Anolis sagrei: one gene and its partner. The protein of the gene in region 2 interacts with the protein of the main gene of each other region in a biochemical or structural test. Links are inferred from orthologs where the notes say so. Each region holds a gene or a part of one and is shown on either strand. Other genes may lie near its edges. The genes, in order: NLK and MYB.

Evidence for each region.
Region 1: of the proteins of MYB (region 2) and NLK, one has a biochemical effect on the other in vitro, tested with the Homo sapiens proteins (2 studies listed by BioGRID, with this or other methods). The link is inferred for Anolis sagrei from reciprocal best matches to the Homo sapiens genes MYB and NLK.

The regions. Positions count from the first base shown.
Region 1 is NC_090031.1:25,525,073-25,540,984, reverse strand, and holds the start of NLK (serine/threonine-protein kinase NLK), read right to left. Parts: upstream 6,887-15,912; 5' UTR 3,188-6,886; coding exon 2,730-3,187; intron 1-2,729. UniProt on the Homo sapiens protein: Serine/threonine-protein kinase that regulates a number of transcription factors with key roles in cell fate determination. Positive effector of the non-canonical Wnt signaling pathway, acting downstream of WNT5A, MAP3K7/TAK1 and HIPK2.
Region 2 is NC_090021.1:80,593,550-80,608,841, forward strand, and holds the start of MYB (transcriptional activator Myb), read right to left. Parts: upstream 7,486-15,292; 5' UTR 7,238-7,485; coding exon 7,215-7,237; intron 1-7,214. UniProt on the Homo sapiens protein: Transcriptional activator; DNA-binding protein that specifically recognize the sequence 5'-YAAC[GT]G-3'. Plays an important role in the control of proliferation and differentiation of hematopoietic progenitor cells.

The DNA of each region.
Region 1 (15,912 bases), on a different chromosome or scaffold from region 2:
GTGAGTTGACTTCTTTCTTGGTTAAACAAGATAAAGGAGGAAATTGTTACAAACTATAATTTTCCTCACATAAGCGCTCTAAAGCTACGTGACTGTGACAGGAACATCCCACACCAAAGCAAGATGGAAAAAAAATAATTTGGGTGAAATGCAAAGTATTGAGATCACTGCTACAGAAAATATATTATGTGCTATTGCAGGGGAAATGCAGATGCTAGACACCTGCCAAGACCAGTCCAACAGAAATTACTTCTAATTCTGCTCAATTCCTAAATGGACAAGCCATTCTATTTGTTTCCAATTTGCAGTTAAGATAACAGATCCAAAAAATACCAAAGAGCTGACAGTGAGATATAAATTCAGAGGGTTGACCAACGAAGAGGTAAAAAGAAAAGGAAATCATAGCAATAGCTGCAGAATGTTTTGGGAAAACTATAACCATGCTGCTGTAGTCTCAAAGTAAGGACATCAGACATACTATATGTACTCGAGTATAAGCCGACCCGAATATAAGCCAAAGCACTCAATCTTACTACAAAAAACTGGGAAAGCGTATTGAATATTTACATAAAACTGTAATTTAAGATAAGACTGTCCAACTCTGGTTAAACCATTATTCTAACCTCCTTTAATGTAAATGTGCTTACCTATCCTTCCAATAATAAAGAGAGTAAAATAGTAAATGTAATAATAATAATAATAATAATAATAATAGAGTAAAATAATGGAAATGTAATAACAGTAATAATATAGTAAAATAATAAATGTAATAACAACAATAAAATAATAATAAATGAAGTAAAATAATAAATGTATAAAAATAATAACAGAGTACAATGATAAATAACTTTGACTCGAGTATAAGCTGAGGGGAGCATTTTCAGCCTAAAAAAGGACTGAAAGACTCAGCTTATACTCAAGTATATACAGTAATTCAACTTGCTCAGCCTGCAATCCTATTCACATGTACCTTGGAAGAAGTCCCACAGGAGTCATCGAGACTCACTTTAAAGTATCGACGCGAGAAAATTTGGGCGAGAAAGCTTCATATTGCAAAGGAATACATAGTAGAAGCTTCAAAGGCATAAAAGCACCAAAAAACACCGTATATGTACATGTATATGTCGTGGGCTGGTTTTAGGGACAAAATTATGGATTTTGATGTCCCCCATGGATAAGTCAAGGGCCATTCCATTCAGAAGGGAACACCGCCTCAGAGGGCCATCTTCTTGTCCAGGTATTCAAAAAGTCCAGAAATGGCAACGTGGCAAAAAGAGTCGAGAGGGTCAATGCTTCTTTTAGATTCTCCTGAGAGGGACAAAGCTCTTGCCTTTTGCCACTCTTCTCAGAAAAGGAGTTTTAATATAAGAGTTCAGGTACAGTACTTAAATTGTCCCACCTAGGTTTTTGGATTGCTTTTTTATTCAAACTTACGAGTATAAAGAGTATTTCTTGCCCTCAAGATGGAAAAATAAGTTGGAGTATATGACAAAACGGTAAAAATGGGGTGGGGGTTAAACAACAAATCCAAATTTACTGGGTTCAAAAACCATGAATTTCTCTGCCTACAAAAACTATTCCTCAGGTATACTTTAAGACAACAACAACATTTTATTATGGTCCAAACACCCTTATTGCACCCTAGGTGTACAAAGTATGCAGGTAATGAGATTAAGAACAGTTAAAAACTGCTTAAAACACATGTTGGCTAAAAACATAGGTAAAAGACTACAAGAAGTGTTTCAGCCTATGTCTAAAATTGGGAACTGTCTGCCTGTCTCAGAAAGAAACTTGCCAACCGCCAAGGTCACGTGGGGAAGGTTGTCACCAAGTAGAAACTTCACATAAAATTTCACTGGACTTGCTGGTAAGTTTCTTAGAAGGGGGTTGATTATATGTGCTCGGGCCTGTTCAAAGAAATTGCATGACAGTAGAATGTGGTAGATGCATTCTACTTCCTGTTTGTTTCATGGGCAGAGTCTTTCATTATATGGGGTACCGGTAAATCTCCCACGCAGCAATTCAGATGGGAGCACATTGCACCTTGCCTTGGAAAATAGCCAGCGGTATTTGGCCACAGTCAAGTTCTTTAGATAGTTTGCTGCATGGAAATACCCAACATAATGTATGGACAGGGCACTAGGGGAGAACGATACATAAGAGTGAGAGCACAACTCAAAAAAGGCAATGTCCCATAGTCTTTGTTTGATTTGAGGGCCGTGTCAAAACCCAAATGAATTAGGAAGGATGCGGAAAGGCCAATGGAGTAGGCTTTATAGAACCAATCTTAAACCAACGGCTTATATACTCATCCTGAGCTAAGTGATGAATCAAACCAGATCCTAAACTAAAAACTCTGATCTTGTGACATTATTTAAATGCCAACCACCAGGCTCTTATTGACAGGGGTGCATCCTCGGATTCAAGTAATACGACATAGAAGCTGGGAAACTACCTTACAGAAGCTGGGAAACTATCTTAGCGTTAAAAGACTTTGAGACACAAATAAGAGGAAAATACGGCAAAATACATGCCAACATATGAGAACAAAAGTGTTTCACTTGTGCTACTTACATTCCACTAAAATTGCTTACTCTAGTGGATGAGGTCTTCCTAAGACCTCACACACCAGAGAACTGTACAAGAAACTGTGGGGAAAGTAACATGCAAATCCAATGGCAACATGAACGCACTATAGCTTGGAAGCCACCAGAGACATCTATACTCACCAGACGACACCAAAGGCTCCATATCCAATAGGCCGGTCTGGCTCAATATCCAGTTGCTGCTGCGGGTGATGCGTGTGCTGATGATGATGCGCTTTAACTGCAGCCGCTGCTGCAGCTTGTACCTGAGCTGGGGCTGCTGCAGCTGGCCCAGGAGCCTGACCTGGTGCCGGTGACGGGAAATATGGCTGCTGCTGGCCTGGATTTAACATGGCTGCAGCCGCCGCAGCCGCAGCGGCCGCTGCAGCCGCTGAGGAAGCATGTTGCTGCACAGGATGCACTGCAGCCGCAGAGCCTGGGTGCAAGTGGTGCTGGGAATGGTGGTGGTGATGGAGATGAGGAGGAGGGAGGTGGGCGAGGTGGTGGTGATGGTGGTGGTGGTGACCTGCTGCGGCGGCGGATGTACCGCCATTGTAAGCCGCCATCATTTTTGCGCCGGCTGTGGCACTACACAGAGACATTCAAGATGATGCCCTCTGGTTGGAGAACAACTGGGTCAAGCTGTCATTTGGCCACAAAAATGAAGGTCTGCTACACTTTCACAAGCAAGTTGCCCACCTTTGCAAACATGGAGCTCAACAGGTCTTTTACGTCTTCATTAAGTCACTAAAAATGGAGGCTTCTGCGTGTGTGAGTGTGAGCATGCAATAAATTCCCCTTCCCCCCAAGATGGCTGATGTAGTTGGTACTAGAATGCCATCTTTCTGCTTTTTCTGTGCCAGTCTTGAATTCAAGTCAGTCCCCGTCCCCCCTAGAAAAAGGATGTGAATGCACCCCCCTAGAAAATGTTAGGAATACTGACAACTCCACCCCTTCCATTCCCACATTCTTTTCATTTATCTTTTCAAAATGTGCAAGAAGGTCCCTTAAGGGCTTCTACAAGTCTTCTCCACTCTGTGCTGTGTATACATCCATTCACCTTTAATATTAAGCTTGGATGGATGTAAGCAATTTCCCGTGGAAGGGAATAGAAAGTGACTAATGAAAGCAAAGAATGTTAAGTCAGTGGGGGAGAGGATATGTCCAAAAAGGACAGAAAGAAGAATATGAGAAAAGACCAGATCAATGGGAAGAAAGAAAGAAAGAAACTGGAAAAGAGGAGCAAGTAAAACAGAATAAGACTGACAGGAAATACTTCTTTTAAAAAGTAGTGTGTGGGAGGTGAGAAGTCGGGCAATACAAGTTACTGAGGGCAAGGAGTAAGCGGGTTGCAGGAATATTTAGAAGGGCAGAAATGAAATAACTTAAAACCAAAGATGAAAGCAGATAACACTGGGTGACTGAGAAAAATTACGGAAAATGATGGAGCTGAAAGAAACAGGATAGTCAAGTAATGTGAACAGAAGAATGAAGTACAAAAAAGGAATGTGGATAAGAAGCAATCAGTTCACAGAAATAATCTTTTAAAAACCTAACAGAGGACCAAAGAAACGGGAGGAAAAAGGAACATAGAGGGAAACAAGTACAAAAAGAAATTATGTTAATTTAGAATGTGATCAGGCGACAAAAAAAACAGAAATGAGAAACCAAAAGTCACAGAATATAAAGGGAGTAAACTGGGGGAAACAGAGACAATGCAAAAGAGATGAAAAACTACAAACAGAACTAGATGGAAAATGCAAAAACAGAAGAAGGAAACAATTTTATAAATGGGAAACAATTAAAATGCATGAAAAGAGGGAAGAAAATACTTGAGGAGATGCTTCTCGGAGATTTTACGAAGCAAAGAATGTCTAAGTTATGGAAAGAGCATGAAAGGGAAATGAAGGATGCAATGCATTCAGGGATGCGGAAAAAAGTTTTTTTAAAGGAGAGGAAAATCCTGCCCAAAAAAAAGCATGTAAGAAGAAAAAGAACTGAGGAGAGGAACTTGAGAGGAGTGAAATGAAAGAGTACTTAAAAGGAGGAGAGAATGCAGGAGGAAAAGCAAGTGAAAATGAGCAATGGGACAAAACAATATATTATATTATATATTCTTTTTCTAAGCCTGTGAGAAGAGTGCAAGAGGGAGAAAGTGATGAAATGTGGAAAAAAGAAATAAGTGGGAGAGGGAGATAAGAAAGAGAGGCGATCTAGGGGAGGAAATCAGGAGAAAATGAGCAATGGAGCAAAACAATATTGTATTATATATTATTTTTCTATGAGAAGAGGGAAAAACCAAGACGGGGAGAAAGCGATAAAAATCTGGAAGAAGAAGAAAATAAATGGGAGATAGGGAAGGGATCTAGGGGAGGAAATCTGGAGAAAATGAGCAATGGAGCAAAACAATATTGTATATTATTTTTCAAAGCCTGTGAGAAGACTGCATGAGGGAGAAACCAAGAAAGAGAATGTGACAGGAAGAAAGCGATAAAAAATGTGCAAGAAGAAAGTACGTGGGAGAGAGATATAAAAAGATCTAGGGGAGAAAATCAGGAGAAAATATGAGCAATGGAGCAAAACAATATTGTGTTATATATTATTTTTCAAAGGCTGTGAGAAGAGCGCAAGTGGGAGAAAACAGAGAAGAGGAGAAAGTGATAAAATGTGCAAGAAGAAGAAAATAAGTGGGAGGGAGAGATAAGAAAGGGAGGGGTTCTAGGGGAGGAAATCAGGAGAAAATGAGCAATGGAGTAAAACAATATTGTATTATATATTATTTTTCAAAGGCTGTGAGAAGAGGGAGAAACCTAGATGGAGAGAAAGAAATAAAAATGTAGAAGAAGAAGAAAATAAGTGGGAGATAAGAAAGGGAGGGGATCTAGGGCAGGAAATCAGGAGAAAATGAGCAACAGAGCAAAACAATATTGTATTATATATTCTTTTTCTATGAGAAGAGCGCAAGAGGGAGAAATGGAGATAAAAATGTGCAAGAAGGAAAAAAGTGGGAGAGATAAGAAAGGGAGGAGATCTAGGGAAGGAAAGCAGGGGAAAACGAGCAATGGAAGAATATGTGTATTTATATTTTAAGAGGAGAATATTGTAAAGGGAAGGGAGAACTGCAAGAAGTAGAAAAAGGAGAGGAAAGGGAGACAAGAAAGGGAGGAGATCTGGGGGAGGAAAGCAGGAGAAAATGAGCAATGGAGCAAAACAATTATTATTATTATTATATTTTATTTTTCAAAGCTTGTGAGAAGAGCGCAAGAGGAAACAGAGGTGGGGAAAAAGAGATAAAAATGTGCAAGAAGAAGAAAATAAGTGGGGGAGAGAAATAAGAAAGGGAGGAGATCTAGGGAAGGAAAGCAGGAGAAAACGAGCAATGTAGGAAAATTATGTATTTATATTACAAGTGGAAAATATTGTAAAGGGAAGGGAGAGCTGCAAGAAGCAGAAAAAGGGGAGGAAAGGGAGACAAGAAAAGGAGATCTAGGGAAGGAAAGCAGCAGAAAACGAGCAATGTAGGAAAATTATGTATTTATATTACAAGAGGAAAATATTGTAAACGGAAGGGAGAGCTGCAAGAAGCAGAAAAAGGAGAGGAAAGGGAGACAAGAAAAGGAGATCTAGGGAAGGAAAGCAGGAGAAAACGAGCAATGGAAGAATATGTGTATTTATATTGCAAGAGGGGAATATTGTAAAGGGAAGGGAGAGCTGCAAGAAGCAGGAAAAGAAGAGGAAAAGGAGAGTGCAAGGAGAAAGATGGTGAAAATGGAAAGAGGTGAGGAGCAAAGTGGAGAGAAGAGGGAGCTGAGGGATGCAGAAAGGAGAAGAGGAGGAGGAGGAGGTGAGATGGGGAATGGGATGAGGGAAAAGGTAACAATCTGGGTGGCGGAGGTGGTCTTGATGGTGCCTGAGAAGGGGAGGCAGGGAAGGTCAAGGCAAGGGCCTACCTTTGGCCTGACAGCAGCCTGACCCAATGAGGCGGGGCCTGGGCGAGTGCGGCTGGCCAATAGGGGGCGCTCGGCGGGCCGGGGAGGCGGGAGCTACGCCGGGGCCTTTCCTGAGGGCAGAGGCCGGGCGAGGGGGCTCCCTCAGGCCTCTCTTCGCCCCCCCGGCTCCTCCTCCTCGCCTTCCTCCGCCGCCCCTCCGTCCCCTCAGGCCGCCCGACCGGCCGCCACTCGCCCTCGCCGCCTCCTTCCTCCTCCTTCTCCTTCTCCTCACAGGAGCCCCAGAGTGAAAGAGCACCCGGGGAGCGCGCATGCGTGCGCCCTCGCGCACTCTCAGAGGCGCACACACGCCGAATGCGCGCTCCCGTCGCTCAACAGCCCCCCCTCCGCGCGCGCGCCCTTTCCAACCAATAGGCACACTCCTCCTCTGAGGCCACGCCCAATTGGGAAACTCGTCTCCGCCTCTTCGCCAATCAGGCGCCTCCGAACATCTTCCCGCCTCTTTTCCTTGTCACCTCACGCAACCTTCACCTAGATATTGGGAGTCCAATATTATTAGTCCCGCCTTGGATTGACACATTCGAGGACCAATGAGGTTGCGCGACGCCTGTAAGGAGACCAATAATGACCTGGAGGATCCAAAAAGGCCTCAGATATGGTTATTAGTCCCGCCTCGGATTGACACGTCCCTAGGCCAATGAGGCTGCGCGACGCCTTTAGGGAAACCAATAAGGGCCCAGAGGGATTTTTTTAAAACTCCTCTGACACACATCCATAGAGGGGAACTGATCTAGTTTATAGAGGAGCTGTCAGTCGAATTAAGATGAGCCAATAGCGGAGGAGGAAGAGTAGGAGGAGGCGGGACTAGCTCACGAATGGAAAGGGGAACTCCTTGGAAGGAGGCGGAGTCGGGAGGTCTTTCTAGTGGGCGGGGCGGTGCTTAGATGGACAGCCAAGGCAGCCAATGGCGGTCACGGAGGCGGGGTAATGCAAGGACAGCGTGAAGCAGGAACCGTTGGGTCAAGCGGAGGGCTCTGTCACGCGCAGGAAGCCGAGGGGGCGGGGCTTAGCCTATGGGGAGGAGCAGGGGGCGGGGTCAAAGCCTAGGCAAGGCGAGGGACCTCAGTGAGGAGGCCTTTCGGAGGAGGAATGGGAGTTGTAGTTTTCCCAAGATGTTTTATATATTATTATATATATTTTATATTATATATATATAATATAATATGTTATATTATTATATAAATATATATAATAATAAATATATATAATAATAATATAATATATTATATTAAAATATTGCTATTCTATTATATATTATTATATATTTTATATTATATATATTTATATAATAATATAATAGTAATATATTAACATAATATAGTAATAATATAATAATAATGTATTTCAATCAAGCTAATACATAAAATATAATCACTACTGATAATATAAAATTATATACTGCTTCATTATTGTATAATTGTCAATTTTTTGGCATATCAGGTCTGTGTGCCAAGTTTGTTCCTCGTCAATCATCGGTGGGGGTCACTCTTTCTCTGGTTGTGGGTGAACAACAACTCCCGGAAAGAAAGGTCATTCCCCCCCCCCAAAAAAAACCCCCTCCAATAATCAAATATCAACAATATCAGGCATGCATGCCAAGTTTGGTCCAGATCTAGCGGTGTTTGGGTTCACAGTGCTCTCTGGATGTAGGTGAACTACAACTCCCCCAAATCAAGGTGAATTCCCCCCCCCCCCAAGACCACCAGTATTTTTTGCTGGTTATGGGGCTCTGTGTGCCAAGTTTGGTCCAATTCCATTGCTGGTGGAGTTCACAGTGCTCTTAGATTGCAGGTGAACTATACATCCCAGTACCTACAACTCCTATAAATCATGGTGAATTGTCCCCAAACCTCTCAGTTGCTGATCAATTCCTCTGTTTTGTTGTAGGTTTTTTGGGCTGTCTGGCTATGCTCTAGAAGCATTCTCTCCTGACATTTCACCTGCATCTATGGCAAGCATCCTCAGAGGTTGTGAGGTCTGTTAGAACTAGGAAAATTGGGTTTATATATCTGTGGAATGATGTCCAGGGTGGGAGAAAGAACTCTTGTCTGTTGGAGGTCGGTTTGAATGTTTCAATTGCCCATCTTGAAAAGTATTTGATGGCCTGGCAGTTTTTGGTGTGGCTTGTTAGTGCCTGGGGGAAATCTTTTCAAGTTTGACGAACGCGCAAACCTCTGCCTTCAGCCTGATTTGAACCACAGCAGGGAGTTCCGCAGTTCCAGGACATCTGGGTGGGCCAACATCGAAGGGACGGTGGCCACAGCAGCAGCTTCAACTGAAAGTCACTTTTCTGCTTTCTTTTCTCCCTTACCCTAATATTGTAACAAATCCCTCAATAAAAGTATCCTTTGATTGCAAAATTTTCCTCCTCATAGTGATACATTGTATCTCTTTCTTGCCTCTAACACTCCCTAACATAAACTTTTCCTTTCTCGGGCCACAGATCACGGCTGGCTCGCCCGAGATGCTCTTACAGCTTCCCAGGAAGGCCGAAACCGCTTTCCGTGGAACCGCGGATACGGAAATCCATTGAGCCCCCATATCCGCGGGTCAACGGATGTTCATGTTCCCAGACTACTTCAACCAGAGAAGTCAGCCATAGCAGAGCACCTGATGAACCATCCTGGACACAGCATATTAATTGAGAATACAGAAATGCTGGACCACTCTCACAACCACCATGTCAGGCTACACAGAGAAGCCATTGAAATCCACAAGCACATGGACAATTTCAACAGAAAGGAGGAAACCATGAAAATGAACAAAATCTGGCTACCAGTATTAAAAACTCTAAAATTATAACAGTAAATAAAGAACAACACTCAAACACAGGGGAACTCCAGACATGAAACAATCCGGGACAGCTAATCACCTCTCAACAAAAAAATCCCTAAAATTGGTCAATGTATGATTTTTTCTGAAACTTGGGGGGAATGATCCTCTGTTATTTTGTGTCATTGTGTAGAAAATTCAAGGAGATTGTTCTTGTAGTTTTTTTTAAATGTTGCTTATAAAAACTTTGGAAATTCCCCCGAAATATGTGGATAAATGAAATGTTCCGAAACTTGATGGACCATCCTGACTGTGAGGGCTGTTCAGCACACATTCCACAGATATATAAACCAAATTTTCCTAGTTTTCAACAGACCTCACAACCTCTGAGGATGCTTGCCACAGATGCAGGCGAAACATCAGGAGAGAATGCTTCTAGCACATGGCCTGAAAAACCTACAACAACTTAGTGATTCCAGCCATGAAAGCCTTTGACAATTCCTCTGTTTGCTGTGTGCCATAGAAAAGAATAGGAAAGGGTTCATTAAGGGAGAGGCAGTGGGCGGGGGTCATGCAAATTCCACACCAATGGAGAGAGAAAGGAACCCTGGGATGTCTGTGGTGGAGGAAACGTATTTCTGTTTACAAACCTACACGATCTCTTCAATCCTCCGGAGAGGCCCTTCTCTCACTCCCGCCTCCATTGCAGGTGCAACATGTGAGGACGAGGGAGAGGGCCTTCTCTGTGGTGGCTCCCCGGCTCTGGAACTTGCTCCCAAGAGATATTAGGCAAACCACACCCTGGCAATCTTCAGGAAGAGCTTGAAAACTTGGCTGTTCCAGTGTGCCTTCAATGAAAGAATGAACAATAATTCCCTGAACTGACCAAGTCCTGCAAATGCACTCGCAAGCACTTTATTCTATCATTTCTTACTCATCCCCCGGATCCTCTGTCCAGACACATTAAACTTCCTGTCTCACCCAGTGTTTTAATTTATAATCTATTGGAATTGGCCCTGCCTTTTGAGATTGATCTCTTTGTCTTAAATGTTGCGATTTTAATTGGTTTTGTGTTGTATTTTTATTTCTTTTATTTTATTGCTGTGTTTTGTTGTATATTGATGTATTGTGATGTTAATTTATGTTAATATTTATATTAATATTTATGTTAATATGATGTGATAGTTATTGTTTGTGTTTTGGGTTTGTGTTTTGGTTTTTCTTTATTGTAATTGTTATTTGGCCTTGGTCTCATGTAAGCCACCTCGAGTCCCTTCGGGGAGATGGTGGCGGGGTATAAATAAAGATTGTTGTTGTTGTTGTTGTTGTTGTTGTTGTTGTTGTTAGGCTTGGCCTCATATAAGCCACCCTGAGTCCACTTTGGGACATGGTAGGTAAAGTAGGTTTTTATTTATTATTTTATTATTATTATTATATTATTATTATTATTATTATTATTATTACATTTAAGGTAAAGGTAAAGGTTTTCCCCAACATTAAGTCCAGTTGTGTCCGACTCTGGTGGAGTGGTGCTCATCTCCAAGCTGAAGAGCCGGCATCATTCGTAGACACCTCCAAGGTCATGTGGCCTGCATGACTGCATGGAGCACCGTTACCTTCCCGCCACTGTGTTTTTGAACTGCTAGGTTGGCAGAAGCTGGGGCTGACAGTGGAAGCTCACGCCGCTTCCCGGATTCAAACCTGCAACCTTTTGGTCAGCAATCTCAACAGTTTAACCCACTGTGCTACTGGGGACTCCTGGGGAGATGGTGGCGGGGTATAAATATATATAATATATTTATTATAAAATTTATTTTATAATTTATTATATTATATTATAAAATAATATATAAATATAATAATAATAATAAAGTTTATTATTATTATTATTATTATTATTATTATTATTATTATTAAGTGGACACCCTAGCCATATACAGACATACTTTTATAATGTGTCTAGGATAGGATATATTATATTATTATTATTATTATTATTATTATTATTATTATTAAGTGGACACCCTAACCATATAAACACATACTTTTATAATGTGTCTAGGATAGGATATATTATATTATAATAATAATTATTATTATTATTATTAAGTGGACACCCTAGCCATATACAGACATACTTTTATAATGTGTCTAGGATATGATATATTATTATTATTATTATTATTATTATTATTATTATTATTAAGTGGACACCCTAGCCATATACAGACATACTTTTATAATGTGTCTAGGATAGGATATATTATATTATTATTATTATTATTATTATTATTATTATTATTAAGTGAACAACCTAGCCATATACACACATACTTTTATAATGTGTCTACGATAGGCTATATTATATTATTATTATTATTATTATTATTATTATTATTATTATTAAGTGGACACCCTAGCCATATACACTCATACTTTTATAATGTGTCTAGGATAGGATATATTATATTATTATTATTATTATTATTATTATTATTATTATTATTATTAAGTGGATACCCTAGCCATATACACACATGCTTTTATAATGTGTCTAGGATAGGATATAGTATTTTATATTTATATTTATAATAATAATAATATAGGATACAGATATTTGTGTATTTTGAGTTGTAATGTTTTTTATTGTGATCCGCTTTGAGCCCAGAGTATAGATGAATTAACAAAGGGACCACCATCCCAGCTCCTATTGTGACCCCGGTTGGATCATGACCCAAATAGACTCCCTTCTTCTCTCAATGTCCATCCACCAAAGCAATCAAGTGGGAAAAATAAATGGCATTTCGTGGGAGGTGGCAGAGAGGGGATCTGTCTGTGCAGATGCCGGGAGAATGTGGTCGGAATATACAAGCACATGATTGCAATTCGGTAAATAACGTGTGTTGTTTTGGGGGGAATGAGAGTTGCTGCCAACAGATGTGCTGCCTTTAATGGAAAATGAAAAAAAAAATCCCATAATTAGGAGGAATGCGCCTTCAAACTCAATGGCAAATCACTTCTTTTCAGCTTCGGTCCAGAAATGATTGGGCTTTTTAATTTTTTTGCAGCTGCCTTAATTCTCTGTTATTGTCTCTCGTCATAGAATCATCATAATTAGTTGAAGAAGTCCCTTTCTTGGAAGGTTTTTAATCAGAGGCTGGGTGGCCATCTGTCAGGAGGGTTTGGATGGTGCCGTCCTGTCTGTTCCAGAATGCGTGAACTGGATTGTACGAGTCTGCACTGCCATATGATGCAGTTTGAGTGCATTCTGTAATGGCATCATATGGCAGTCTATGTTTCTAGAATTTTTGGGTAAACGCAAAGGTTGGCCATCTGTCGGGAAGGTTTCGACTTTCCCCTTTGGGGTAGATATGACCTCAGAGCGTAATGTGTGCGAAACTACAAACCCGTGTATGGTTGTTGCTGAAGGACGTTGCTCTATTCCATGTGGACAGTCTCTTGGTGACGTTGACAGATGTTTTCGGAGACAATCCTCGAGAGCGAGGATTAAAAAGCAATTTGCAACCACTTTAAAGCGGGCCTCCATATTTGGGTCACGGGCATTAACTCTTTCCGGGAGAGGCTTTCATGATATCTGCCTGCCTGGCTTGCGCTGGATTATCATTCTAGCATATGGCTGGATGACCATCTGTCAGGAGGGTTTGGATGGTGTCTTCCTTTGTGGCAGAATGGGGGTCACACTCAATGGCCCTTGAGGTCTGCTTTAAAATTGATTCTCCCAAGGCCTGTTCTTTGGCTGCGTCTACACTGTAAAATAAATGCAGTTTAACGCCACTTGGACGGCTATGGGATCCTGAAAGTTGTAGCTCGACAAGACTTCTCCACCCAAGAGTATTAGTTCATACGAGGGTTGAATGAAAAGTAATGCTTCCACCTTCGTAACTCCTCAACAGATAGCAGTACTGGTATGCGGCAGGTACTGGCTTGTTCAGTAGACTCTCCTCTACAGTTCCATTTTCGCGGGAAGCCTTAGCATCGAATGGTTGCGTTGTTAAAGTGCGAAGTATGGAACCCTGTGCAGACTGTCAGTCAATGCGAATACACAATCAAAGCCCTCCCAACAGATGGCCATCGAGTCTCTGCTTAAAGATCTCCAGAGAAGGGGACTCTCATAGTATACATTCCACTAGATTTGGAGCGACCCCAAAGGCCATCCAGTCCAACCTGCCTCTCATGCAGAAAGACACAATCAAAGCCCTCTCAAGAGATGGCCATCCAGCCTCTGCTTGAAGATCTCCAAAGAAGGAAACTCTTAGGCAGTATATATTCCACTAGATTTGGAGGGATCCCCAAAGGCCATCTAGTCCAACCTCCTTCTGTCATGAAGGAAGACACAACCAAAGCCCTCCCAACAGATGTCCAACCCCTTCCTCCCAGACAGGAAGATATAATCATTGAAGGTGTCACCCCAAAGGAGATTCCTCAGAGAATACAAGCTCTTTATGTTGATTGTGTTGATGTGAGTACTGTGCGTTGTTGGGCAGGTAAGTTTAAAGATGTTGAGGTGGGAACATCTGACTTGCGTGACAAAGAGTTGGACGTCCTGTGACAGCAACCACCGAGTTTCACAAGCAAAAGTTTGACAGATTGATTCCGGACGATCGTCGTATCACTCAGAGAGAATTTTCAAGCATAATCGGCATTTCACAAGAACGTGTGGGTCACATTATTGCTTTGCTTGGATATTGGAAGATCTGTGCATGATGGGAACCCAGGATGCTGACGTCTGAAATGAAAGCGCACAGACTTGAAACTTCAGAGACTGGATCTCACCACCGTACGACATCCTTCATACAGTCCAGATTTAGCACCATCTGGCTTCCATCCATTCCCGATAATGAAAGAAGATCTGTGGGGACATCATTATGCTTTTGATGAAGACATTGAGAGAACTGTGAGATGCTGGTTGCGGAAACAGAGTGTCGACTTCTTCCGTGACGGCTTCAGAAAACTTGTTAATCTTTGGCAGAAATGTATCCAATTGTCTGGTGATTATGTGGAAAAGTGAATAGTGGTAATTAAAGAGCACATTCTAAGGATTATTTCTGCGTTTGGTTTATTAAAATATTCCCATCCAAACCCAAGTAACGAAGGAGGAGGCATTACTTTTCATTCAACCCTCCCATTAATATAATCTGCTCCAGCACCAAAATATGGTCCTTTGCTGCCCTCAGGTGGACAAATTAATATTACACCCACCTTGCTCGACAACCAAGGCTGCTCCACTATACTGTTCTTTGCTGCCATCCGGCGGACATAATAATTATTGCACCCGCCAATTTTACACCTTAATAAGCCAAGGCTGCTCCAATATACTGTTCTTTGCTGCCATCGAGTGGACACATTAATTATTGCACCCGCCTTGCTATTTTGCGCCTTAATAAGCCAAGGCTGCTCCAATATACTGTCCTTTGCCGCCATCCAGTGGACATAAAAATTATTGCATCCACCTTGCTATTTTGCGCTTTCATAAACCAAGGCTGCTCCAATATACTGTTCTTTGCTGCCATCCAGTGGACACTTTAATTATTGCAGCCATCTTGCTATTTTGCGCCTTAATAAGCCAAGGCTGCTCCAATATACTGTCCTTTGCCGCCACCCAGTGGACACATTAATTATTTCACCCATAGTGATATTTTGCGACTTAATAAGCCAAGGCTGCTCCAATATACTGTCCTTTGCTGCCATCCAGTGGACACATTAATTATTGCACGCACCTTGATATTTTGCTCCTTAATAAGCCAAGGCTGCTCCAATATAGTGTCCTTTGCTGCCATCCAGTGGACATAATAATTATTGCACCCGCCTTGCTATTTTACCCCTTAATAAGCCAAGGCTGCTCCAATATACTGTCCTTTGCTGCCATCCAGTGGACACATTAATTATTGCACGCACCTTGATATTTTGCTCCTTAATAAGCCAAGGTTGCTCCAATATTTTGTCCTTTGCTGCCATCCAGTGGACACATTAATTATTGCATCCACCTTGCTATTCCCCTCCTTCTACAAACCAAGACAGCTCCAATATATTGTCCTTTGCCGCCATCCAGTGGACACTTTAATTAGTGCACCCGCCTCGATATTTTGTTCCTCAATAAGCCAAGGCTGCTCCACTATACTGTCCTTTGCTGCCATCCAGTGGACACATGAATTATTGCACCCGCCTTGCTATTTTGCGCCTTAATAAGCCAAGGCTGCTCCAATATACCGTTCTTTGCTGCCATCCAGTGGACACATTAATTATTGCACCCACCTTGCTATTTTGCGCCTTAATAAGCCAAGGCTGCTCCAATATACCGTTCTTTGCTGCCATCCAGTGGACACATGAATTATTGCACCCGCCTTGCTATTTTGCGCCTTAATAAGCCAAGGCTGCTCCAATATACCGTTCTTTGCTGCCATCCAGTGGACACATGAATTATTGCACCCGCCTTGCTATTTTGCGCCTTAATAAGCCAAGGCTGCTCCAATATACCGTTCTTTGCTGCCATCCAGTGGACACATTAATTATTGCACCCACCTTGCTAT
Region 2 (15,292 bases):
CTAATTACATGGCAGTGCAGACTAAGATAACCCAGTTCAAATCAGATAATATGGATTTTTTGCTGTGATAACCTGCATTATCTGATGGTGTAGAAGGGGCCTAAGTCTGCCCCAGGAAAAACTAAATGAAGCACCAAGTCTCTCCACTGTGGCACCACTTCTAGCCTTTTTGAATGCCTGGCTGAGGAAATGGCGACAGAAGTCAAGGCACTGGTGCTTCCCCTCCTTCAAGGAATGACCCTCAACTTACCCATGGGTCTTTTCAAAATCCATTATTTTGGGTACCAAACCAGCCCCTGACTTATGCATATGGTCAACTTATATATTAATATATATGGTGGGTCACAGAGATCTAAATTCGGTAACGTTCAGTCAGGCAATTGAAAACTCATAGGGTCCTTCCACACAACCACCCTATATCCCAGAATTTTAAGGCAAAAAAATCCCACATTATCTGAATGTAGACTCAGAATCCAGTTCAAAGCAGATATTGTGGGATTTTCTGCCTTGAAATTCTGGGATATAGGGCTGTGTCAAAGGGCCAATAGCCTATTGAATTCAACTGGGCTAATGCCAAGAAAATGGACCAGTGTGGTGTAGTGGTTTACACACTGCACTATGTCCCCTTTTACACAGATGTCTAAAATCCAGATTATATGCTTTGAACTGGATTATATGGCAGTGTAGACTCAGATAAACCAGTTCAAAGCAGACAATGTGGATAACTTGCCTTGACATTCTGGATTATATGGTAGTGTAGAAGGGTGCTCAGGCTCTCAAGGGCAGACTTTAAATACATACTGAACCTTGGAAACTCACTGTGTTACCTTGGGTGAGTCATACGCTTTCACCCTGAGGCCCCTTCTTCACAGCTGAATAAAATCCCACATTATCTGCTTCAAATTGGAATATATGGCAGTGTGGACTCAGATAATCCAGTTCAACGCAGATAGTGTGGGATTTTCTGCCTTGATATTCTGGGTTATATGGCTGTGTGGAGGGGCCCTGAGAGGAAAGCAGACAAATCACCTTCTGAACTAATTTAAGAAAACCTTGTGTTAGGTTTGCGATAGGGTGACTATAAGTCAGAAACAATTTGAAGTCATGCAACAAAGGGCCCTTCCACACAGCTCTATATCCCAGAATATCAAGGCGGAAAATCTCACAATACTGGGTTATCTGAGTCCACACTCAGATAATGTGGGATTTTCTGCCTTGATATTCTGGGATGTAAGGCTGTGTAGAAGGGCCAAAAGAAGTAAAATCCCCATGCCCACTAACCCTTGAGAATAGTACTTAAAGTCCAAAATTACTTAGAAGAAAGCAAGTCCTAGAAATACAGTGTGACTTGTTTCCACAAACACACACACACGGGTCAGCCTAGACATAAGCACAAATCTACAGCCTTAAATATCCAAGGGCAAAGGCCTCTCAAAACAAATGAAAACATAAGGACATCAAGTGATCGGCTTGTTTTGTAAATGAAGAGCAGTATCAACAAACTCTGGCCAAGTGCAGGTACAACTGAGGAGAAGTGTAATATCTAAAATTGTCATAGCACTGAAGTGAACAATCTTACTGCTTCATCATAAACAGTGTTCTTATTTCAAGTCCATCTGACATATTTTCCACAAAGTGGTTGCCCTAGGATATTTCCTCCAAAAACAGTGTATGAGTAGAATAATACACAAACACCCACTCGAACCCTTCCAGTTTAGAAAAATTAAGAGCGTTTTGCAACAGATGTTGCCGTACTTCAGTTCTATTGTGCAATGCTTTATTTCTAACTTTAAAACATAAACATAACTTTTGAAATGTCAGCTTACAGATTGTATCTACAGGAGAACAGAAAATATGGATGGTTTAGGGCTAATTATAGTGACACATGAAAGAGATAAACTTCAAATAAAAATTTTAAAAAACGTGTTTGATAAATAAGCACATTATAGTGATCTTGTCTTACCATTGGAACAATTAAAAATCTAATATTTAAGACTGAGTGCCTTAAAAGCTGTTATGCGGAGGGAGTGTCGAGTCAATGAGATTACCCAGAATTTGTGGTTCAAAGGCTGCAGTTTAATTGTTCTCATGTAAAAGACTGAATTTCTGCAAAACGTAACAGTGCATTCCAAAACATGTGGATACACACAATGCAATTTAAAGTTACAGAATCTCTGGCATTGTCAACATCACAGACATGCATATACTGAAATTGACAGCCTACAAATCGCTACTAAATGCAAAATAAGGCTACCAATTACACTCAACTCTTAATACAAACTAAAATTAGATTATCACACCATTCATCAGGTAAACCTACTGCTTGAGATTGTATGGCTTATGAAACAAACTAGACAGGAGTGAAGAATCAGCTTTGGTTACTTCAAATTTGAATCCAAGCTCAGCCATAGGCTTAGTGAGGGAACACATCAGCAGCAGACTCATATGATGCATCTCTTACTAGACTCTTATTATTTCAGATTGCAAGTACTATTCCTATTTAACTTCTTTAAAAGTATACCCTGCCAGTGAAAAGGCTGCACTTACAACCCTTTTGCCCTGTTTGCTAGCTCCTATGTCTACCGACAGTAAGAGTAAACATTTAATCCTCCACCTGCAGATTAAAACAACATAGGCATTAATGTCATACAGTCTGAATACAACTTAGGTGGCCTTTGGTAATATGTTACATCTCAGCCAGTTTTCTCACATGTAAAACAGAATTAGTAACAATTTGCTTCACAACGCTTTAAGGATCACAAAAAAAGCTTGCATGGTTTTAAGGACTATATACATAACAACCCTTAAGGGTCCAGTCCTAAAGCATAACAAAAAATCTGCTCAGTGTCACCACCTGTCAAAGGTCAGAAGGGGCTGTCCTACATCACTGCATATGGATTTTACTAATCAGTTTAGAGAGTCTGTCTGACTAAGTACAACTTCAATGAATCAATAGTAATATGTCATTGTGTGGTGTAGAATTTCTCTATAACAAGTTTTTCAGGGATTGCCAGCTTTCTTGATCTGATCAAAACTGATCTTAAGCATGTCTATTTATTAATCCCACTGACTTCAATAAGACTAACATCCAAGTGTTCATGTTTAGGATTGCAGCCTAAACATGAAACTTATTTAAAAGTCTCGTTAACATCAAAATGATCTCTAAGAAGTGATATTAAAGCCACTGCCACTAACTCAAACCTGCTGTGGTTATGCATACCTTAGGACCCTTCCACACAGCCATATAACCCAGAAGACCAAGGCAGAAAATCCCTCAATATCTGTTTCGAACAGAAGAAAGTTGATCAATGTGCATAACCTTGCTGTCTAAGGCCCCTTCCACACAGCTGAATAAAATCCCACATTATCTGCTTTGAACTGGAATATATGGCAGTGTGGACTCAATTCCAGTTCAAAGCAGATAATGTGGGATTTTATTCAGCTGAGTGTAAAGGGCCTTAGACAGCAAGGTTATGCATATTGATCAATTTTCTTCTGAGTAAGTTAGCATTGGATGGACCACATGCCCCACTGAAAGCAATGCCACATATGAACTGTGACGTTCTGCAGGATGGGCATCCAACAGCTCTAACTGGACAGCACTTTTTTTTTTTTTTACAATTAGGCCACTCTTTGGGGCCCAAAGTCAAGTCAGAGGTTTATTTCACTTGCTCAAGTTGTAAGTCAGTGGGTCCTTTAACACAGCCATATAACCTAGAATATCAAGGCAGAAAATCCTTCAATGTCTGCTTTGAACTGGGTTATCTGAGTCCACACTGCCATATATTCCAGTTCAAAGCAGGTAATGTGGGATTTCTGCCTTGATATTGTGGAAGGGCTGTGTGGAAGGGACTCACAACTCCCAGGACTCCATACCATTGAGCCATGGCAGTTAAAGCGGTGTCAAACTGCATTAACCCTACAGTTAAGATGTACCCTAAGCAGGACAGAACTACAAGACCACATTTAGCAAGTTTGTTGCTCCCAACCTTTTCCCTTATTTTCAGGTTGGGTTTTTGCCAGCAGATGTGTTTGCATATGCTATCACCAACATAAGTTGACCCAATAACAAGACCCACTATTTTAATTCGTGCTTTTCCTTTATATATACATGTATACAAACAAATATGGATACACACACACAGAGTAGAGTCTCGCTTATCCAACCTTCGCTTATCCAATGTTCTGTATTATCGAATGCAGTCAAACGTGGGAAAAAGAAAGTACCCTTGTCTGTTTTGGTGCTAAATTTGTAAATACAGTAACTACTTCATAATGTGACCATGTACTGAACTGCTTTTTCTGTTGATTTGTTGTGAAACATGATGTTTTGGGACTTAATTTGTAAAATGATAATGATTATCCAACATTATCCTTATTATCCAGCATTTTTGCTTATCCAACATTCTGCTGGCCCATTTATGTTGGATAAGTGAGACTCTACTCTCTCTCTCTCTCTCTCTCTTTCTCTCTCTGTGTGTATATATATATATATATATATAGTAAGGTAAAGGTTTTCCCCTGACATTAAGTCCAGTCATGCCTGACTCTGGGGTGTGTTGCTCATCTCTTCTAAGCTGAAGAGCCAGCATTGTCCATAGACACCTCCAACGTCATGTGGCCAGCATGACTGCATACCTTCCCGCTAGAGCGATACCTATTGATCTACTCACATTTGCATGTTTTCAAACTACTAGGTTGGCAGAAGCTGGGGCTGACAGTGGAAGCTCATGCAGCTCCCCGGATTCGAACTTGCGACCTTTCGCTCAACAAGCTTAACAGCTCAGTGGTTTAACCCACTGAGCCACGGGGGGGGGGGGGGGGGGTCTCATATATATAATTATATATATATATATATATATAGTTCCAGTACCAGTGCAGTAGCGACTGTTTTCTGCAAGGACATCTCCATTGTAGCAATACTGCAGTTTGACTCCGCTGTAACTGCCCTGGCTCCATACAGTGGAATCCTGGAAGTTGTGGTTTTAGAACAGGCATGGGCCAACTTGGGCCCTTCCTCCAGGTGTTTTGGACTCCAACTCCCACCATTCCTAACAGCCTCAGGACCCTTCCTTTTCCCCCTCAGCTGAGGCTGTTAGGAATGGTGGGAGTTGGAGTCCAAAACACCTGGAGGAAGGGCCCAAGTTGGTCTATTCCTCTCTTAGAATATCTTGAGCCTTCTCTGCCCAACACACCCTACCACTCCCAGCATCCCATAGCACCGAGCCCCAGTCTGCTCCGTTCCCCACACACAACACAACACAACACAACACACCACTCCCCCTCTTTCCGGGAGAGAGAGAGGGCCACTAGTATAAATAAGAACACACAACAAATACGAAGAGCGGAGGAGAGCGCCTCCCCTCCCTCCCTCCCTCCCTGCCTGCCTGCCTTCCTTCCTCCCGCCCGTCTGCCCGCCGTGGCGTTTTAAAGGCCGCGCCTTTCGCCCGCCTCGCAAGAGAGTTAAGGGCGGAGGGCTTTGCCGCCCTTGCGAGGTCTGCTCAGCCCGAGGCGGAGCGGTGCAGAGGAGAGCACTCCCCCCCCCCCCGCTAACCCCCGTCCCTCCGCACTGCCCTCATTGGCTTTCACAGCAGCATTGCGCCCAAACCCCGCGCTCCCTCTCGCCTTGGAAACTTTGGAGGCTGGGGGCCGCCTTTTGCTGTCAAGCTCAGGGAAAGGGACTGCAGAAGAGTTTCCTGAGTTGGGGAAAGCAGGCGAGGGAAAGAGAGAGGGAAGGAAGGAAGGAAGCTGCCTCTCCGGCGCCGCAGGGCGAAAGAGAAAGGAAGCCACGTTGGGCCAGCTCCACGTGGGCGAGTGTCCCGGGGCTCCCAAGGAAACCATCCCACGCCGCGCCTGCCCGAGGGGACGCTTTCCCACAACCTCCCCCCACCCTTGCATCACACCAGGCATGGTCACACTGCAGCCCTCCAGGTGGTTTGGACTCCCAACTCCCATCATTCCGAACAGCCTCAGGCCCTTACGCTTAAGCGGCTGAAGGGGAAAAAGTAAGGACCTGAGGCTGTTCGGAATGATGGGAGTTGGGAGTCCAAACCACCTGGAGGGAGGACCCAAGTTTCCCCATGCCTGATCCACACTGTTGGGTGAATGCCACTTTGTAACTGCCCTGCCTCCGTAGAATTCTAGAGTTGGAAGAGACCTCGTGGGCCATCCAGTCCAACCCCCTGCCCAGAAGCAGGAAAATCGCACTCAAAGCACCCCCAACAGATGGCCATCCCGTCTCTGTTTAAAAGCCTCCCTACACTAGAAGGAGCCTCCACCACACTCCGGGGCAGAGAGTTCCACTGCTGAACAGCTATCACAAAAAGTTCAAGCCTCCCTGCTGTGCAGTAGCGAGAGTTGTAGTTTGTTAAGGTTCTTTGCCTCGCCAAACTCTTGGGATCCCACGGCACTGAGTTCTGGCAGGGGAAGTGGTGCCAATCGGCCTCAATTCCACAGTGTAAACGGCGCCCCAAGAAGCGGTGCAAGGCAGTGACAGTTCTTGACAAGAGACCCTTCCTCACTCACTTACTCTTTCCCCGCTACATACTTTTCTACTTTGGGTGGGGGAAGCAAAGTTCTCCCCAAACGGCGCTGCAAGGCACACTCCCCGCGTGCCAAGTGGGTCGGGAAGGGCGAGGGATTGGGAGTCCTGCACAAAACACCCAGGGGGGGAGAGAGAGAGAGAGAGAGAGAGAGAGAGGCGCTTGGTTCTGCTTGCCAGCTTGCAAGACTCGGGAATGAATGAGCGCGCGGATGAATGGGGACGGCTCCCACATTGACCCGCTTGCCCTACCATTGGCACGACCCCTCGCGGGCCCAGATCTCCCGTGGCGCCCACCTCGGCGCTGGAGCTGGGCCCGAAGCGATGCCCACTCCCGCTTCCCTGCACAACTGGAGAAAACTTTGCAGACTTTGAGGGATCCTAAAGTTGGGGAAAGGTTGGCAGCAGGAGGAAGCGGGAAAAGAAGCGCTGCCTCTGCAAACTCGGGAGAGGATTTGAACCCTCAGCTTGCATGACAGGTGTCGAGAAAGAAAGAAAGAAAGAAAGAAAGAAAGAAAGGAGGACAGACCTCCCGCGCCCCGACCGTTTGCAACTTTGTGATCCCCGAAGTAAAAAGACCCACAAACTCTAAGAAGCAAACCGTAGAACGTGGAGTTCTCCTCGCCCACGATCCCCCGAGATCCTCATTGCCAAGCTCTCCTTCCCTCTTTACCTGTGCCTGGGTCTCCTGGCCATCCTTTGGCATTAGTCCCGGGGGGAAAGCGGGTGGGCGGGAGCGGAGGAGGAGGAGGAGGAAGGCGGCGTGCTGCTGCTGCAGCCGCTGGAGAAGGAAGGCGAGAGAGCAGCAGCAGCAGCAGCAGCAGCTCCTCCGCCGCCCAAGTTGTGCTTCTTCTCAGGAGCGGGCAAGGAGGGGAGGAGGAAACAGGTTGAGATGAAAGAGTCAACTCTGTAAACAGATGCCATCAAACAAAGGGCCCTCTTCTCTCTCTCTCTCTCCCCCTTTAGTGTGTGTGTGTGAGTGTGTATGTGTGGACACTCCCCCTCCCGCCAAATCTGGCGCCCCTGCAGTGCGCAGGCGCTCCTCGCAGCCGCTGCCCGCGGGTCCGGAGGGGACGGAGGAGGAGGAGGAGGAAGAAGAAGAAGCGCGGGCACTGCTGCTGCTGCTGGGCTCTCTCTCCAGGCGGGAGAGACTCAGACCCCCACTTCCCCCCGCGAACGAGGCTCCCACTCCACGCCAAGGACCCGCTTTGCCGCCCCCTCCCTCCCTCTCTCTCTCGCATTGGGCGAAAACTTCCTTCCTTTGGCTCGGAGCCCGCGGGGCTTGCCAAGCTGGAAGCTTCCCCACCTGTCCTCGTCGGGCTGGGAGGAGGAGGGTTGGGGCGAAGCACCTTCGTGCCAGGGCTTCACAACAGCTGCCCTGCCGGGAGCCAGGCGGCCCAACAGGTGCAGCGCCGCTTCCTTCTTCCCTGCCGGGACGGCGCCCCAGAGCCAGGAGGAAGAGCCAACCTGAAGGGGCTCCCTCCGAGCAGCCTTCCACTAGGGTCAGGATCCCCGCAGAGAGAGAGAGAGAGAGAGAGAGGAGGTGCTGGAGGCTGCCCATAGCCAGCTGAAAGAGTTCCCGGGCTGTGTAGCCATGTCCCAAAAGCATTCTCTCTTGACGTTTCGCCTGCATCTATGGCAGGCATCCCAAGAGGTTGTGAGGTCTGTTTCCAGACCTCACAACCTCACAACAGACTTCACCTCTGAGGATGCTTGCCATAGGTGCAGGCGAAACGTCAGGAGAAATGCCTCTAGAACATGGCCAGATAGCCCGAAAAAACCCACAAGAACCTAGACATTACCCTACTCATCCATCCCACCCAGGGTTCTAAAATCCTATTCATTGTACTTGGCCCTGCCCGTTCGGCTCATTTTTGTTATATTCTGTTTTGTTTTGTTTTCTTTGTATTTTCTTTCATGTATGATTGTATTCTTTTTGCCTTGTTGTAATTGTTGGGCTTGGCCTCATGTTAGCCGCCCCGAGTCCCCTTGGGGAGATGGTGGCGGGGTATAAATAAAGTTTTATTATTTATTTATTTATTATTGGAGGCAGGTGTTAATGTTTCAATTGGCCACCTTGATTACCATGCAATCTATGTAATTGCAACACTTTTTTTTCTGTTGTGTCAGGAGTGACTTGAGAAACTGCAAGTCACTTCTAGTGTGAGAGAATTGGACCTTGCCCAGGGGACCCCCAGATGTTTTGATGTGTTACCATCCTTGTAAGAGCCCCCAGTGGCGCAGTGGATTAAACCCCTGTGCCGGCAGGACTGAAGACCGACAGGTTGCAGGTTCGAATCTGGGGAGAGGCGGATGAGCTCCCTCTATCAGCTCCAGCTCCTCATGCGTGGACATAAGAGAAGCCTCCCACAAGGATGATAAAAACATCAAATCATCCAGGCGTCCCCTGGACAACATCCTTGCAGACAGCCAATTCCCTCACACCAGAAGCGACTTGCAGTTTCTCAAGTCGCTCCTGACACGACCAAAACAAACAAACAAACATCCTTGTGGGAGGCTTCTCTCATTTCCCCGCATGAGGAGCCAAAGCTCATCCACGCTCTCCCCGGATTGGAACCTGCAACCTGTCGGTCTTCAGACCTGCCAGTACAGGGGTTTAACCCACTGTGGGCTCCTTCAACACTGTTAAGGATGGGGGAATCCTTAACAGTGTTGGAATTACATAGATTGCATGCTAATGCAGTAAGAAGCCAGACCTTGAAGCTGCAAAGCCATTCAAGACTAATCAAGGTGGCCAATTGCAACACTCACACTTGCCTCAGACAAGAGTCCTTTCTCCCACCTTGGACATTACACAGATATATAAACCCCATTTTCCTAGTTTCCAACAGACCTCACAACCTCTGAGGATGCCTGAGATAGATGCAGGTGAAATGCCAGGAGAGAATGCTTCTTGAACATGGCCATACAGCCCGGAAAACTTATTACAACCCAGTGATTCTGGCCATGAAAGCCTTTGACAATGCATTACCTCCAGGGTTTTGAAATACCTCCCATCCGGATGGTGAACAGCCCAGGAGCGGCCTCTCCAAGCCTGCAACCGCTGCACATGTGTTAAGTGGAGCTGGGGAGTGTGCCGAGGGTGCTGCCTGTTTCTGTAACAAGGCAAGAAAGGAAATTCGACTCACGCAGCCCGGTTTCTGCCCTGCAACAAAACTGTGAAAAATACAAAATGCTCAGCCTTTGAGCCCCTACCAGGATAGTCTGTTCCATTCATACCAGATTCTAGCAGTGAGAAAAAGGTTGACTGAGCAGAAGGAAAGAGCTAGCGGCGCTCTCAGGGGAACAGCACAGCTTCAAGATGTTTAAAAAAGTCTTGCTGGTTCCCTGGTGCTACTACTGATGATGGTGGTGATGATAAAACTTTATTTATATTCCGCCCTATCTCCCCAGGGGGACTCAGGGCGGATTCCAACATACACCAGCAAACATTCATTGCCTCCTTAAAACAAAGACCAACATAACATGTATTGTGGAAGGCTTTCCCAGGCTGCATGGTCATATTCCAGAAGCACTCTCTCCTGACATTTCACCTGCATCTATGGCAGGCATCCTCAGAGGTTGTGAGGTCTGTTGAAAACTTGGAAAATTGGGTTTATATATCTGTGGAAAGCCCAGGGTAGGAGAAAGAATTCTTGTCTGTTTGAGGAAGGTGTGAATGTTTAAATTGGACACCTTGATTAGCATTTAAGGGCCTAGCAGTTTCAAGGTCTGTCTTCTTACTGCCTGGAGAATCCTTTGTTGGGAGGTGATTAACTTGCCCTGATTGGTTCTTGTCTGGAATTGCCATGTTCCAGATTCTGGAACATGGCCATACAGCCTGGAAAACTCACAACACCCCACCAACATAAAATCCCAGAAAAAACCCCCACATACGAAAACAATATAAAACCTAACTTCAAATTAAACCTATCATCAATAAATTAAACCTAACATCAGTAAATTGAACATATGCTTTCCAGTGACCATAGAACCAACTCCTAAATCAGTTCCATCTCTGCAAACTTCTAAACCATTCTTATGTGTCCTTATATAGGCATGAGCTTTTGCAATCAGAATTCTAAACCAACAAGGGGCAGTGGGTGGCCCTCCAAGCTTCATTCGCTCTAGTCAGTATGAACTAATGGTCAGAGTTGCAGTGCAATATCTGGAAGCAGTGCCAGATTTAGAGCAAATGAGGCACTTTGCTAGTTAAGTGATGGGCCCCTTACTTACTTGGGCCCTGAAGGAGGTAGCTCCAGTAGGCCTACACTGCCTGCTTTGTGGCACACTCCCATAAACCAGTGTTTCTCAACCTTCCTAATGCCGCGACCCCTTAATACAGCTCCTCATGTTGTGGTGACCGCCAGTCATAACATTATTTTCATTGCTACTTCATAACTGTAATTTGGGTACTGTTATGAATTGTAATGTAAATATCTGATATGCGGGATGTATTTTCATTCACTGGACCAAATTTATCACAAATACCCGATACGCGCAAATTTGAATACTGGTGGGGTGGGGGGGGGATTGATTTTGTCATTTGGGGGTTGTAGTTGCTGGGATATATAGTTCACCGATAATGAAAGAGCATTCTGAACTCCACTAATGGTGGAATTGAACCAAATTTAGCACACAACTCCCACAACCAACAGAAAATACTGGAAGGGTTTGATGGACATTGACCTTGCGTTTTGGAGTTGTAGTTCACCTATCTCCAAAGAGCATTTGATTCAAACAATGATGGATCTGGACCAAACTTGGCACGGATACTCAACATGCCCAAATGTGAACATTGGTGGAGTTTGGGGGAAATAGACCTTGACCTTTGGGAGTTAGAATTGCTGGGATTTATAGTTCACCTACAATCAAAGAGCACTCCAAACCCAGTCCACAATGTATCTGCACTAAACTTGGCACACTACCTACATCACCAGCATTGAATATTGATGAGATTGGGGTGGGGGTGGCAGCTGTTCAGAATTCTGTTGTAGTCCATCAATACTAGAAAGGAAGAGAAAGACAGGCAGAGAGATCTTCAGCCTTCTCTGCCAAATATGTGTTTTCTGATGGTCTTTGGTAACACCTCCGAAACACCGCTCATGACCCCCCAGAGGTCCCGACCCCCAGGTTGAGAAACACTGCCGTAGACTATCAACTAAAATCATTCTGAAACAGAACACCTTCAAATCTGAATTCATAGCTATGTTTGCCAGGACTCCAGTTAATTTCACTATTAACAACATAACCTGCAACCTTTAGTTTGAATGATTTCACAACAGCTAACTACTATAACGGAAACAATAAATATACTCTGAAATACAGAAAAGAAACAAAACAGCCACACACGCCTCCCAATATATGGAAGATCCTAAAGTTGGGGAAAACGTGGGCAGTAGGAGGAAAAGGAAGCAACACCTCAGCTAGCTTGGATGAGAAAATATAATCAACCAATAATGGAGAGAGGTGTTAACATTTACAGAGGCTTACGGAAAATATCTACAAACACTAGAAGCTAAAAAGATATTTTCCTTCTTAAAAGAAAGGAGGGGAAAAAAAGGAAATAAGACACAATTGAGTATCCCATTTCCAAAAATCCAAAATGCTCCAAAATCTGAATTTGTCCACATGGGTGGTCCAGATAGTGATACTTTTGTTTTCTGATGGTTTTAGTGTACACAAACTTTGTTTCATACACAACATTATTTTAAAATATTAAAATATTGTGTATAAAATTACCTCCAAGATATCTATCTATAGGGTGTTTATGAAAAATAAACGTACACTGCATTTTCCAGACACAGTGTACGCATATGCAAATATGGGTATTTCAAAATCCCAAAACATTTCTGGCCCCAAGCATTTTGGATAAGAGATCCTCTATCAGAGCCCCTTTCAGGCGGGCATTCTAACCTTTTAAATAAAGTCACACCTTGAATTCAGTAAAGATTTAAATAAAATCCATCTGACAAGATATGATATGGTTAGCACTTACATTGCCGACAAATGTCAGATGCTGTAGGCGGGCATGGACAAAGTAAGGCCCGTGGGTGCTTATGTTTGGCCCTCCTCATTTTCCTGTCCTCTGGGACTGTGCTCCTATGGTGAAGGGACAGGGGAGGAAGGCACATGGTGGCTGGGAGCCCTTCGGATTGCTCTCGGTCATCTCGTGCCTTCCTTGGGCCCACCTCCTGGAATAAGGCGGCTGAGCGCTCTGGAGCCAGGGGGAAGGACAGGCCACTGTCGAGAGAGCTCACTCCTCTCAGCTTGGGAACATGGTGGGCCACTGCATCCCCAGGCTGCAAGGAAAGCCAGGGACAGGTTGCTGCCAAGAGCTCGCCCCTCCCTCCTGATCCGTCTGCCCTGGCCCCAATCTGCCCCACCCCTAAAAGTTTTTTCATGTCTGCTGTTAGCTATATTTTAGGGGAGGGAACTGGTAAACTACCTTGGAATATTATTTGCCTACGGAATCCCTATAACATTCATGGGTTGCCATTGGACAAATTATGTCATCTGACCCTAGATGCTTAGTACTGGGAAGATCACTGCCTTTCCATGCATGTTCCAGACATCACGAAACAGGATAATTCTCTCCAGGTCATCTGCTCTGAACAACATACTGATACAAGTATGCTTGCCGCTAGTTACCCTAACCTGTTGCTTCAAGTGACAATTTTGATCTCCCTCCTTATTTGTACGATTATTTGTGCATGTGTTTGCATCATATTACACAGCATGGGAAGAAAGTGGGCTAATGAAAATGACAGATGGCAATTCAAAATGAAGGACAGTGGAACAGCAGACCTTCACATATTTCCTTCACTGGAAATATGAAAAAGTTCTCCCTACTCTTCTCCTCCATAATATTCAGTACAAGATGCCTATCCTTTAACCCACTGGTTCCCAACCTATGGTCCATGGACCACCAGTGGTCTGCAAGAATGAAAATAGGGTCCGCGGTCTCACCATTACTACACCGTTGCCTTGAAACCACACAGCAATGAGAGCGACTGGTCTTACAAAATGGGGATGTCAGGAGGGGAGAGGCCGACTACCCACAAAATATTACTACTACATCAGCTCTAGATGATTAAATTTGGTTTTCTGTGAGCAAGCAGATGGCGATTACTGGGTGGCATATGTTCTGTATCAGAAACTAGAGCTGATTTGGTCTAGCCAATGCAATGTTCTGAATCAGCACTCCAAACCGAATCTAAAGTTGACCAAAAACCGATTTGTAACCCTTTTGGTACTAATGTTGGAGAGTCATCCCTGGTCAAAGTGGTCCCTGGTCAAGTGGTCCCTGGTCAAAAAAGGTTGGGAACCACTGTTTTAACCTAACATCAATGTAGTTTGTGTTGCCATCTTCCCATTATTTGACTGGTGATGACAGGAATGCTGAAACACTTGGTGTAATAACATCAGAGAAAACTGTCTGAAGTAGAACTGCTTTGGGAGGCACAGTCCTACGTTCCATATAATGTGTAGTTCTGCTCTGAACGATAAACACCAATAAGAAATTAGGTTTCCTTCTAAAAAGACAAACAACAACCTCAATGTGATCCCATGCATGTTTCAAGGCATTGCATCTTAATGCCAAATATTTGTGTATAGAACTAGAGGTAAAGTCTTTCACTTTAATGCAAAGGGTACTTGTATACCAAGGACAGCCATAAACTATATTTCCAGAGTACACCAAAGTTACAATAGGGCACTGAAGGCAAAATAGTATAATACATTCCTTCTCTAAATATGTATATGATCAGTAAAGAAGTGGAGCCTTCCAAAAATATTCCAAGAATATAACATTCTGATTTTGTGTTACTTAGATATAAAGTATATTTGAATTTATATGAGTATGCACACATATGATCATGCACTGTCAGAAACATTTTACAGGAACTGATTATACGCATCCCTTTTTAAAGAGGTGAGTACACACAAGAGACACAACAGAAATCCAGAGACATGCCCACTTGGGGAAATTTTAATGAATATTATCATGTGCCTTAAAGTCGTTTAGGACTTGTGATGATTCTAAGGAAAACTCAACATACCCAACTGTGTTTAGAGGGGGTTTGAATTTTGTACAATATGGAACATTTTCCTTTCTGTGGCTTCAGGATTGTGCATTTCAAAAGGTTCTCCAAATTTAGAAACATTAGTAATATTTTGGAAGGGGATATATACTTTTCTTATTTATAAGCTTGCAACAAGGGTGAAAAGGTGTATCTGATGAGAAATGTTGATACAGGCTACATAGATGAGTTATTGTGGGTTTACAGATTATTAATGTGTATCTGCTGTGAATGTGGAAATGTTTCCTATGCACACTGTAATCATACACTTTGAAACTGAATTATATGATCAGTGTAGATGCATTTAATACAATTTGACTGCATCAAACTGCCTTATATTGGTCTACACTGACTATTATATTGGTCTACACTGACAAACTGTATTATATGGTAGTGTAGATCCAGCCTAAGTGTATACACTTGTGGTATTTTGAGTTGTACTTCTATGTGTAAGTCCTCTGTCAGTGTGCATAAATACAGATGTTTGATTGGTTTCAGTTTTGGAATGAAAGTGTGTTTCTATATAGTATTTTCCATAGAATGGGTAGGGTGCAGGTCCAGGCCAGTAATGGGGCCCTCTTCCCCATGGAAGTTCTTCCTGCTTCTTAAAAATGCTACATTAAGGCTCTTGAGACATTGCTAGATGGGATGCATGCAGTACAGGAGCAAG